Zea mays: one gene and its partners. Each later gene encodes a partner of the first gene's protein in a complex. Links are inferred from orthologs where the notes say so. Each region holds a gene or a part of one and is shown in the gene's direction. Other genes may lie near its edges. The genes, in order: uncharacterized protein LOC100216627, structural maintenance of chromosomes protein 4 and condensin complex subunit 2.

Region 1 (3,751 bases):
TAGTCCCTAGTCCTTTAACTAAAGGAACCAAACGTGTCCTAAAAGAGACTCAACCATATTAATTTTAATTTTCTTGCCCCTCGTTTATTTTATTTACACTAAAATAAAATAAAATGGAGAGATTAAAAATCAATACTTAGAAACCAAACAACACATAAACGATAAGACGAATCTACTAAACCTAATTTGTTTATGGTCCACTCATATGATGTTACAATAAACGTTTGTTAACTATAGATTAATTACACTTTGTAAATTTATCTAATCGTTTAGTCTTCAGCTGTATGATTACTTTTATAATTAAACTATATTTAATACTCGTAATAATCATTCAAATATCTGACACGATATAAACTGAACTTTAGTCCACGTAACAATTTGTCTAATCAACGATCACCTCTCAATACGAGCTAGCCGCTGTAGCACCTATTGAAGGTCATGTTTGTTTCAACTTCTGATTGGATTCAGAGCGATAGAGACGGGTTCTAAAAGTCAAACATGTTGCTTTTTAGCCGACTTTTATGAAAACCATTTATGTAAAAATCGCATAAATCCATGTAAAGCAAAAAACCGATGAGTCACCGTGATGGGAAGAACTGACCGCTTTCTAAACCCTAAATTATGTAGATCCTTTGATCCTCTACACACCGCGATACGTGAAAATAGATTATATACAATTCTTGATTTTTAGAAAATTTTCTTTAGAAAAAGGTGTATGCCCGAAATGGTTCGATTCAAAGGCTGGTGCCCACCTCCCCACATGAGGCGTGGGCCCTTCTCGCCATACAGAGAGACTCCCTCACGAAAACTCACCGTCTCCCGCTCTCGATTTCGAAACACTCGCCACTCTTCGCCTCCCGTTCCCCAGCCCAGACCCGAAGCCCTGCGCCTCCCCCTCCGCCGCTCGCCGGGCGAGATGTCCCCGCCGTTCGTGTTCCCCTCGACCCTGCGGGATCTGGAGCTGGACACCGACGGAGACAGAGACGAGGAGCCCTCGCTCCGGCCGCAGAACCCCGTCGCCGTCGCCACGCTCCGCGCTGCCGACCTCGAGGAGTTCGTCAAGGGTACGTGCCACTTCTGCCCCAGATCCCCCAGCTTCCGCGCGGTTTGTTGTTTGGTCGGGGTTGTACCGGTACCCAAGAATTACTAGTTTGGATTCGTATTTTTGATGGTAACACGAACTAGTGGCTTTAAATTGCACCGGAATAGGGTTTTGCTGGTCAGTAATACTAGTCGGAGCTTCGGATTTCGATGTAGCTGGCAACCTGCTAACCCTATCTTCTTTTTTTCTCTAGCAAATCGGTGCATAGCGTAAATAATCGAGTTTGCAGAGAAATGCTCGCTGTCACTTCCACATAAGCCTTTTTCAACTTGCTTGCCACCAATCTTAAAACCTTCTTGTATCTCCGCGGCTGTGTTAACAAACTTGATCTGATATCAGAAAAGGTGGGTGCGGGCAGCTAGCAAAAGCTATTATAAGCTCTGCCTCGATGGCCCTACGTAACGTTGCTATATTATTTATTCATGAATCTTTGTTCTTCATCGCCGTCTCTGTAATATTAGCTGTTGTTTGATGGGAATACACCTTTCCCCTTAATTTCTGCCTTACTTTTGACAATTCTGGCTGTTCTAACTTGTGGCAACGTACAATTAGATTTTTTTTCTTAAATGAAAGAATCTTATTAAGTGAACTCACTATTTCTTTAATTCTTATTCAAACTGAAGGTGCATCATTTGATCTTTCTGATAAGGAGCTCTTCTGCATTGAGGAACAGGAGGTGTTTGATGCCATCTACTCTATCGTGCGTGATTTCAATTGCCTACCCCCAGCCCTTAAGTTTAACATTGTTGAGACCTTGCGCTCCAACCTCAGTGTCCTTCTACCCAGCATAGACTCACTTTCCCGGGCATCCATGTCATCCCCTTCTGATGCTACCGAAATCACTGACCGCATTGCCTCACACCGCAATGCCCTCAAGATCTACTCCTTCTTTCTCATTTCCATTGTTCTCACCGCGGAAGCTGGCGCTGAAAGCTGCACAGCGGCTAAGGTGATTTTTGTGCAGAAGATACAATTATTCAGATTGTTTATGCTCTTGTTCTTTTAGTTGACTTTATTTTTTTCATGACAATTAGGCAACAGCACATGGTCGAAAGAAGAACCATATATATTCTTGGAACTGGGAAGCACAAAGAGGCAGGATCATGAGTCTAGTCGCTAATTCTCTTGAAGCTAACCTTTCGCTACTTTTTGGTCCTGGAGGAACCGATGAACGATATCTCTCTTTTGTTTCGAAGTAAGTTTTAGAAAGTGGAAACTGACTACAGTATTCCAGTAAGTCATCTTTTGCAATGACATCACTTTCATAACATGTAGGTGTACTTTTGTTCTCTGTGAAAATCAAAATGTGTTAAAAGATGAGGATACAAGAAATGGCCTGTGCCGGATAATTGGAGCAATTGCCACGAAGCATCAGAGGATTTCTCAAATCAGTGCATCTGTTTCACATCTAATACACAAATTTGATTTCACTGTTCCTCATCTTGCGGAAGCAGTTGCTTCTGCGGAGAAAAAGTTTGGTGATGGAAGCCTTGCAATTTCCCTGATTAGGGAAATAGGTCGGGCTGATCCAAAAGAATACACGAGAGATAGTGTTGGTGCGGATAATGTTGGGAGATTCCTTGTAGAACTTGCAGACCGCTTGCCAAAACTTATGTCAACCAACATTGGTGTTCTGATACCTCACTTTGGTGGTGAGTCATATAAGATCAGAAATGCTCTTGTTGGAGTTTTGGGAAAGCTGGCTGCAAAGGCTTTCAAGGATGTTGAGGGTGATAGCAATGCTCGGCTTCGAAGTAAGCAGGCTATGCTGGAGATTTTGATTGAGCGCTGTAGGGATGTGTCAGCATACACAAGGAGTCGTGTGCTTCAGGTGTGGTCTGAGCTTTGTGAAGAAAATTCTATTTCAATTGGCCTGTGGAATGAAGTGGCTTCCGTTGCTTCAGGGCGACTGGAGGACAAAAGTGCTATTGTGAGAAAATCAGCATTACAGCTTCTTATAACAATGCTGCAACACAACCCTTTTGGGCCTCAGTTAAGGACTGCAACCTTTGAGGCAACTCTAGAAAAGTACAAGGAAAAATTACAAGGAATGGAGCCTTCAAATTCAGACAAAGATGAGGCCGCAAATGATAGTTCGCCTGGTGAAGTGATCATGGGGCAAGATGAAAGTGTCAGTGATAGCTGTTTAGCATCAAGTCAGGATCAAAATGACCGTGATGCTACGATTGTGGATATAACAAACTTGGAACAAATAAGAGCTTTAGTTGCTTCACTTGAAGCTGGTCTGCGGTTTTCAAAGTGTATAACTTCGTTAATGCCAATTCTTGTTCAGTTGTTGGCGTCATCCTCAGCTACTGATGTTGAGAACACCATCCTTTTACTGATGAGATGCAGACAGTTTCAGATCGAAGGATCAGAAGCAGCACTCAGGAAAATGTTACCTCTGGTAATATCCCAAAAACTCTGTCTGGTATTTGTGCTTGTTTTGTATTTGTTAATTGTTCCTTGGCCCTTTGGATTTTTCAGGTGTTTTCTCAGGATAAGTCAATATATGAGGCAGTGGAGAGTGCATTCATTACTTTATACACAAGGAAAAGTCCAATAGAAACAGCAAAAAGTTTGTTAGACCTTGCCATTGATTGCAGCATTGGTGACCTTGCTGCTCTCGAGAGCTTAATTAGTTCCTTA
Region 2 (3,751 bases), on another chromosome or scaffold:
GCGGCTTCCATCCGTCGTCTCCGTCCATCCGTCCCTGGCCGACTGCCTGCCTGCTGGCTAGGGCCAATGCCACAGGGAGCAGGATCACCAGCGGCAGCCGACAGCGAGACGAGGCGAGTGCTATGCTGTCACAGCGATTAAAAGCAAAAACGTAAAGCGGCAGCAGGATGAGGAAAGCAGGGGAGAACCTGGAGACCGAGCGGTACCGCCCACTCCCAATCGCGCGGGGCCGTTTCCTCCCAGACCGCTGCGGCGTCGAAGCCGCAGCAGCAGCCTCCTCCTCCTCGGCCTCCGCGGCAGCCACCGTCGCCTCCATCTCGGTCGCGTGCTCGACCGCCTTCACCTGGAGAAACACAAGTTACACATATCAGCAGCACAAATACAGGAAGACGATGGAACAACGACTCCATGGGGGACCGCAATCAGCGGCGAGACGCGAGCGTGGCGGCGAGGTCGTGAGGAAAAGGCAGGGCACGATGGGAGGGAGGAAGCGAGGTCGAGAGGATGAGAGGGAAGTGGACAACAGGCAAGAGAGGAGACGCTCAGAGCTTGATTGAAGAAAAAATCGGGTCCGGCCTACGTGCCACACGCGGACAGGTGTTCGAGCAAGGGCCACGAGCTAAATCGCGAAAAGACAGAGGGCCTTTATGCAAAAACGCGACCACGAAACGCGGGGAGCGCTTCAAACAGCTTCAGGCTTTAATAACTCTGATTTTTTTTTGTCCGCAACAGTTTGCGTACGGGCCTGAAACCAGAGCATACCTAGAAACAGCCCAACATTTGGTGCGCATGCATGGGCTAACGCAAGACCGTACCCTATCAGCCAAAGTTAGCGAAAAAGCCCAGTCCAACTAAATGATACTCCATTTCATATTTTTCTGGCCTGAAACACCTTCAAATTCCGCAGCGCGAGGACGAAACCCTCGCACCGTTTCAGTTTTCCCTCCCAAACTTGCCCCAAATATCTAAATCCATCCTCCTTCGCAGGCGCTCCAACTTTCCCCTTCCCGGCAACCACCCTGTGCCTTCCTCGCTGCCTCGATTCCGCTTCTGTGCTCGGCTAGGGAGAGCGGCAGAGTATCAGGCGGGTGACCTCTATCTCGCCGGGGCGGGGCGGGGCGGTGACGCTCGCAATCCCTCGCTTGCTGCTGCATTTTCGAATACTGAGATGGCCATGGAGATGTCCCCGCGGCAGTCGCCTCCGCGGACGCCGCGTAGGGCGGCGAAGCCGCGACTGTTCATCAAGGAGATGGTCCTCCGCAACTTCAAGTCCTACGCAGGGGAGCAGCGCATCGGTCCTTTCCACAAGGTCTCCCCCCCCTCTCACTCACTCACTCACTCACTCACACACGCCCACTCGTGGGTGCTAACAATTTGTTTAGATTTAGAAATCCTACGAACGAAGTTCGCATTATTGTAATTCATTTACATCAGCATGTGCCTATCGAAACTTAATCTACTTGTGCACTATGTCATAGCTTCAATTTTGCTATTCTGCCCCACTCTCAATTTATGTCATTGTTCCCGATAAAGAAACGGCAAGATGGATGTTTATTTGTGGTTGCTAGTGGCGGTCAAGACTTGATCCGAGAAATCGCAGTGGAATTTCTGTAGCTATTATTGGGGCTTACATGTGAGTGTAGGTGTGGCTTTAATTCCAAACCCTAGGGTACAGTTCACACTGTAGAGTTGTCATTCTAACAACTTTGTTTTACTGGTACAATAGTTAACAGATATCACTTTCGACTGTGATACATAAACATACAACACAAATAGAATTTGTACTTGCAGAAGAGAGGTCTTCCATTCAGTTCTATATATTTTGTTATGATTATGCTTGCATATCTAAGGAAGTATCGATGTTACGGCCAAACTCATGGTTTAGCTTTCACTTGAGCAACTTCACCACATTTAGGAAAACAATCCCCTCTCCATAAAAGCTGTCATATAGGGGAATGATGTGAAAAAAATGCTCCAGAAGATCCCCTTTCTCAACCCCCCTTCCCTATGTTTTTTCTCAATCCCTCAAATAGAGGGGAGCAAGCAGCTTTTTTCCTCAACCCCCTTTCCTTCTTCAAATCTGGTGTGGAGTTGCTCTCCCATTTTATTAAAGCTATGCTCCTGCCTCCTAGAGTAACTGATCCTTCATCTCTGCAGAAAGTATTACAATTTATATAATAAAAGTATAACTGGATCTAAGCATAGATTGGAGCATGTTTGGGAGAGCTTCTTAGGGCTTTGGCTCCTTGCTATAGTATCTAAAAGAGCCAGAGCCAGAGTTGGTGAAGACTTTTTTCTGGCTTCACTGACTTCTAGTTCATTTTGTAAAGAGAGAGAAAATGGCCCCCTGATACAGTGCACATTTTCCCTAGTAGCCGGAGACATTTCGTGAGAAGCCCTCCTAAACGAGTCATTAGAAAAACATACCAGGATTTCTGAGGACACACTCTTCTCAATCTAATTTGAGAAAAACATAGTTATAATCAAACACAAACAAATAATAGTCCTTCAGGATACAGATATTACACACTAAGGTCGTGTAATAGTGCTCATGTTTAACAGATGGAAATAATTCCATTTTACCCCAAATGTATTATGTACCGATTGAACAACGATTAAAGACAAAACAATAGAAACATAATTTGTTATCTTGACTGCAGAGCTTCTCGGCTGTTGTTGGTCCAAATGGCAGTGGAAAGAGTAATGTCATTGACGCAATGCTTTTTGTGTTTGGGAAGCGTGCAAAGCAGGTTGGTATTGTTGCTTAATGTTGATTTTTTAGTGATTATCACTATATTCATTTAGTTCATTTCACCGGGAGATTTTATGTTATTTGTTCTATGTCAACAAATCATTCGATTTGTTTATAGCCTATCCAATGGTAGATTCTAGCATGTCACTCTAAGTTCCACAATAATTTAAAAGCCTGAGAGTAATATCCTGCCATTTAAGTTTGTAAACATATAAATTATCATCCTAAGTATTATGTGAAAGGATTATTCTAGAACCTAGCACATTGATGCTTCAATTGTATTAATCCTCTTGGTTTAGATAATAATCGTATTAATCCTATGGTTGCCAAGTAGTCTGTGTTTTGAAGTTGATACTTTAGAGTTCCTGTCTGCTAAATGTACTGTGCATACTAGTTTCTCGTTACTGTTACCTGTTTTCCCTTTGAACTTTACATGGACAATGCAATTTTCACAAATTCATTCGTACAAGTGATCAGATTCATTTTTTCCTTACCAATATCTCTGCTTTTAAAGAAAGTAAAAATAACGTTTGAGATACAAACCCCACTGGATTACCATTTCACAAGGAACATATACGGAAATAAAATTGATCCAATACATTGTTAGTCGCTATCATTACTTAGGATAATTTTGTATTTCTCTTGTTCTTCCATCAACTGCAGATGCGCCTAAACAAGGTCTCCGAGCTCATACACAATTCTTCCAATCATCAGAACCTAGACAGTGCTGGTGTTTCTGTTCATTTTCAAGAAATTATTGACATGGTATTGTTTGAAGCTTGGGTTGAGTTTTCGACATTTCTTATTTGTACTGCCAATAATCATTTTACTTTTTTCTGTGCCTGTAAGCAGGATGATGGGAACTACAGTGCTGTTGAGGGTAGTGACTTTGTCATCTCAAGGGTTGCTTTCCGTGACAACACTTCTAAATACTACATAAATGAGCGTGGAAGCAATTTTACTGAAGTAACTAAACTGCTGAAGGGCAAAGGAGTTGAC
Region 3 (3,751 bases), on another chromosome or scaffold:
ACAACGCTCGCGCATGATCGAATGAGCAAGGGGGAGGGTGCACCCGATAGCGGTATAGATGTACAGAAAGCCTTTAGCATGAAAGCTCGACCCGAAGCATGTTTTTTGGCCCGATGCGAGCCCGGTTTGGCCTACTTTTATACGGGCCTGGGCCAGCCCGACATGAATAAGCGGGCCGGGCCCAGACAGGAAACTAAGCCCCACGGGCTAGCCCGACACGACTCGTTTACCTCTAAGTCCGTCAAGCCCTTTTTTTGCACTAAACCGTGCTTAGCAGCCCACTTAGCTTGTTTTCAGCCCGCTTTTTTCGTGCTTACCGACTCGGTCCGATCCGTTTAGGCCCGCAGTGGGCCAGACTCGGATAAGAAAACGAGCCAACATGTTTGGATGTTTTGGCCCGGTTTTCTAACCGTTTGGCTATATCTAGATAGTGGGGGCCGGGGGCGAGGGGAAGGGTGAGTTTGAAATGGGCAGGGTCTCAAGGAAGAGGAGCCACGGTTACACGTAGGCGTCAGCGCGAGTGGAAGGAGCAGTTGACGAAAGCTGTGCACAATTGAGTTGGAGGGACGTTTGACGCACAAAGAAATTCACAAAAGGAGTACAAAGGTAGTGTTTGGTTGAGGAGACAAGTAGAACAGAGCTGTTCGATCCCTGATTCTAGAACGGAGGCGCTCTGTTCTATGTTTGGTAAGCTGGAAAGGAACGACTCTATTTTTTGTTTGGTTGTAGAGTGAACTGGAACAGAGCGGCTCTATTTTTTGTTTGGTTGCAGAGGGAGGCGCGTGAGCTGCTGCGCACGGATGGGAGGGCGAGCTGTGTGAGCGAGCTGGAAACGGAGCAGCTCCGTCCCATTGATTTTTTGGAGTAGGATGGTTCTGAATCTAAGGAGAATATTCTTTAATTGGAGCTACTCCGTTCTAGTTACTTTGTAATCAAATAACAACAAAACTAGAACATAACCGTTCCGTTCTACTTGCTTTTCAACCAAAGCAACAGTACCCACCCCATCCCTGGCCCCGCTCCCGCACCGCAGCGCATCCGCCCCCAAAATTTGAAATCACGACTGGGAGGGATCCCGAACGACGGTCCAAAATTTTCCCTACCCAACCCCCTCTATCCATCCTGTCCCGTTCCGCTCCGCCGCCGCCGTCGACCGCACGAGATGCCGCCGGCCGAGGACGCCCCACCGCAGACCCCCCCTCCCGCGCGCTGGACGGCGGCCGGGTCGCGGGTGCTGCTGCAGTCTCCGCCTCCAGCGTTCCCGCTCGGATCCAATGACGACCAGCAAGAACGCGCCCGCGCCCGCGCGGCGGCGCGTGCCGCCTCCGTCCGCCGCCGATCCCTCGCCGCCTCCATTGCGCCCTCCAAGGACCCGCGCCACGACCTCCTCAACCGCGAGCAGGTCATGGACCTCTTCCATAACTGTATCAAGCTCGCATCGGAGAACGTAGGTGCCTAGCCCGCCTCCTAAACCTAGCCCGCTCCATTCCTCTCGCTAAGCTTCTTCGTTGCGTTCTTTCTGGGGAAATTTCGGCAGAAAATTAACCAGAAGAACACGTGGGAGCTAGGCCTAATCGATCATCTCAGCGAGATCATCCAAGCGGGGGTGGACGAGGACGAGGAGACCAACTTTCAGAAGGTACCGACCTGCAAAGATCTCCCATTTCCTCCTCTCTTTGTAGCCTTCTTAGTACAAATTTGTCTAGAGGGAGATTCGTCTACTGTATTTGAATTTGTTGGCAATAATGTGGTACTTTTATGGAACAGGCAAGCTGCACACTGGAGGCGGGGGTCAAGATATATTCACTTCGTGTGGATTCAGTGCACTCCGAGGCTTACAAGGTGCTTGGTGGGATAAACCGTGCCGGAAGGGGTGAAGAGGCTGGTGAGGGTGCACTGGAATTTTAATGGATTCTGATGTGTACCACTTTGATTGCAGTTTTACTTCTTTATTAGGGAGCTGTATCCAGTGCAAATTACATGCTCTTATGCCGAGTATGGCTGAATTGCTCGAGTTACAAATTCAAAAAGAATGACCTATACATGATAGGTTCATGATTTTGCTGGAAATCTATGCTGCTTCATTATGGTCTTCTGGTTTGGTGCTTGACGAAAAAGATTTGGAGAAAGGAAAAAAACTGCACTTTTTTTTTTGCTTTTTGTCTTCATCCAGTGCAAATTGGTCTATGCTGGGTATCACTAAACTTGAGTTAAAAACTCTAAAGTAAGGGGGTGTTTGTTTGGGATTATAATCTCAAACACCCCTAAGTTGGCATGCAGTGTGGTTTTATGAGTTAATGGAAAGGTCACTGTTCTAAGGGCCTGTTTGGAAGCACCCAGTTTTTAGAAACTGGTTTATGAAACCGGAGTACTTCCAAACAATACTAGTTCATGTCCTAGTTTCTAGTTTATAGAAACTGGATTCCTAGTTTCTTAAAAACCAAGAAGCCTGCATCCCCTAGCTAAAACCAAATTTTGTCTGTTTAATAACATTATTCCCTTGTTTATTTCATGGAATTTACATCTATTGCCACCACTTTTTAAAATAGAGGAAGGTTAGGCTAGTCAATGCATATGCAAAAAACTAGAAACTGGTTTCTTAGAAACCGGGTTCCAAACACCCTCACCCAATTTTTATTTAAAAACGAGTTTATAGCAAATGGTTTCTTAAAAACCGACATGCTTCCAAACAGGCACTAACTTGATTGGAAGATTAAATATGTTTTAAAACCTTTTCATTGTTACCCATGTTAGAACTGTCCTGTTTTTTGGTATTCCTTGGGTGAAATTGATCAACTTACATTGATATGTTACACAGCTTTACACAACCTGTGCACTCACAGATTATGAACCTTCTGCAAAACACTGTTTATGAAATTGGGAACATTTGCTGTTTTCTTACTGTTTTTGTGCTTAAAATTTGAGAAGCACTGTTTTGCACTTTGGGATGGCACTGTGGCAGTTTTGGGTCAGTGCTCTGCATGATTTTGGGTCCAGTGGATTCGGGTTTAGGGACCCAAATTTTATTGGGTTTGGTTTCCACCCGCGGATGTATAATGGAGGTCCAAAATAGTACATTTTAAGTAAAAACTCATTTGTTTTGTTAATAATTTGTTTATGTAAGCTATTAAGTTTATTCTAAGTTGAGTCATGAAATTATTTGTTCTTTATTGCCTTTTGCTTATATATGTGAATATGTAATATGTATCATGCATGAGTTACTAGAAATTCCTTAATGTCTTTTGTATATTGCTATATAGTGGTGGTTTTTGGTTTTTTTGGATCCACTGGGTTTGGTTTTGGGTTTGGATTATCACCTGAAACGGTGTTTGGGGTGGTTTTGGGTTCTGGGTTCAAGTCCACAGTCTCCACCTGATCCAAATCCACCTTGCCATCCCTATTTGCACTCCTGTTTTACAGTATTATCCTTAGATAATGTAATGCTGTTTCATGATGATGCTCTGAGTTGGTTGTTGCCATTAAAGATTTGGAGGAAGGCAGCAATGTTGAACCTGCACAGGATGAAGCAATCAATAAAAAGGATGCTGATAGGAGGGTACAACATTTTGAATGGAGTACTTAGTTCTTCACTTCAATTCTGCTTCATTATGTTAATGCCTTTCCATTTGTGCAGATTTCACCTGCTTCAACGTTGGAGTCGTCATTTGAGGCTCTCAATGTAAAGAAATTTGATGGTAAGTTTCAAGTTTATTCTCACTATCTCTTGTTGAAAATTATTCTACCATGGAGC

Evidence for each region.
Region 2: uncharacterized protein LOC100216627 (region 1) and structural maintenance of chromosomes protein 4 share a complex: the UniProt entries of both Arabidopsis thaliana proteins name them as parts of the condensin complex. The link is inferred for Zea mays from reciprocal best matches to the Arabidopsis thaliana genes AT3G57060 and SMC3.
Region 3: uncharacterized protein LOC100216627 (region 1) and condensin complex subunit 2 share a complex: the UniProt entries of both Arabidopsis thaliana proteins name them as parts of the condensin complex. The link is inferred for Zea mays from reciprocal best matches to the Arabidopsis thaliana genes AT3G57060 and EMB2795.

What each region holds. Positions count from the first base shown.
Region 1 is NC_050102.1:180,182,801-180,186,551, reverse strand, and holds the start of uncharacterized protein LOC100216627, read left to right. Parts: upstream 1-876; 5' UTR 877-916; coding exon 917-1,064; intron 1,065-1,725; coding exon 1,726-2,051; intron 2,052-2,136; coding exon 2,137-2,297; intron 2,298-2,377; coding exon 2,378-3,509; intron 3,510-3,589; coding exon 3,590-3,751. UniProt on the Arabidopsis thaliana protein: Essential protein. Regulatory subunit of the condensin complex, a complex required for conversion of interphase chromatin into mitotic-like condense chromosomes.
Region 2 is NC_050101.1:167,824,807-167,828,557, forward strand, and holds the start of structural maintenance of chromosomes protein 4, read left to right. Parts: upstream 1-897; 5' UTR 898-1,168; coding exon 1,169-1,309; intron 1,310-2,660; coding exon 2,661-2,750; intron 2,751-3,415; coding exon 3,416-3,517; intron 3,518-3,604; coding exon 3,605-3,751. Other genes in the region: uncharacterized protein LOC101027244 precursor, read right to left, coding at 1-125, 207-410. UniProt on the Arabidopsis thaliana protein: Central component of the condensin complex, a complex required for conversion of interphase chromatin into mitotic-like condense chromosomes.
Region 3 is NC_050098.1:234,339,383-234,343,133, forward strand, and holds the start of condensin complex subunit 2, read left to right. Parts: upstream 1-1,077; 5' UTR 1,078-1,162; coding exon 1,163-1,447; intron 1,448-1,537; coding exon 1,538-1,639; intron 1,640-1,767; coding exon 1,768-1,885; intron 1,886-3,485; coding exon 3,486-3,556; intron 3,557-3,634; coding exon 3,635-3,695; intron 3,696-3,751. UniProt on the Arabidopsis thaliana protein: Regulatory subunit of the condensin complex, a complex required for conversion of interphase chromatin into mitotic-like condense chromosomes.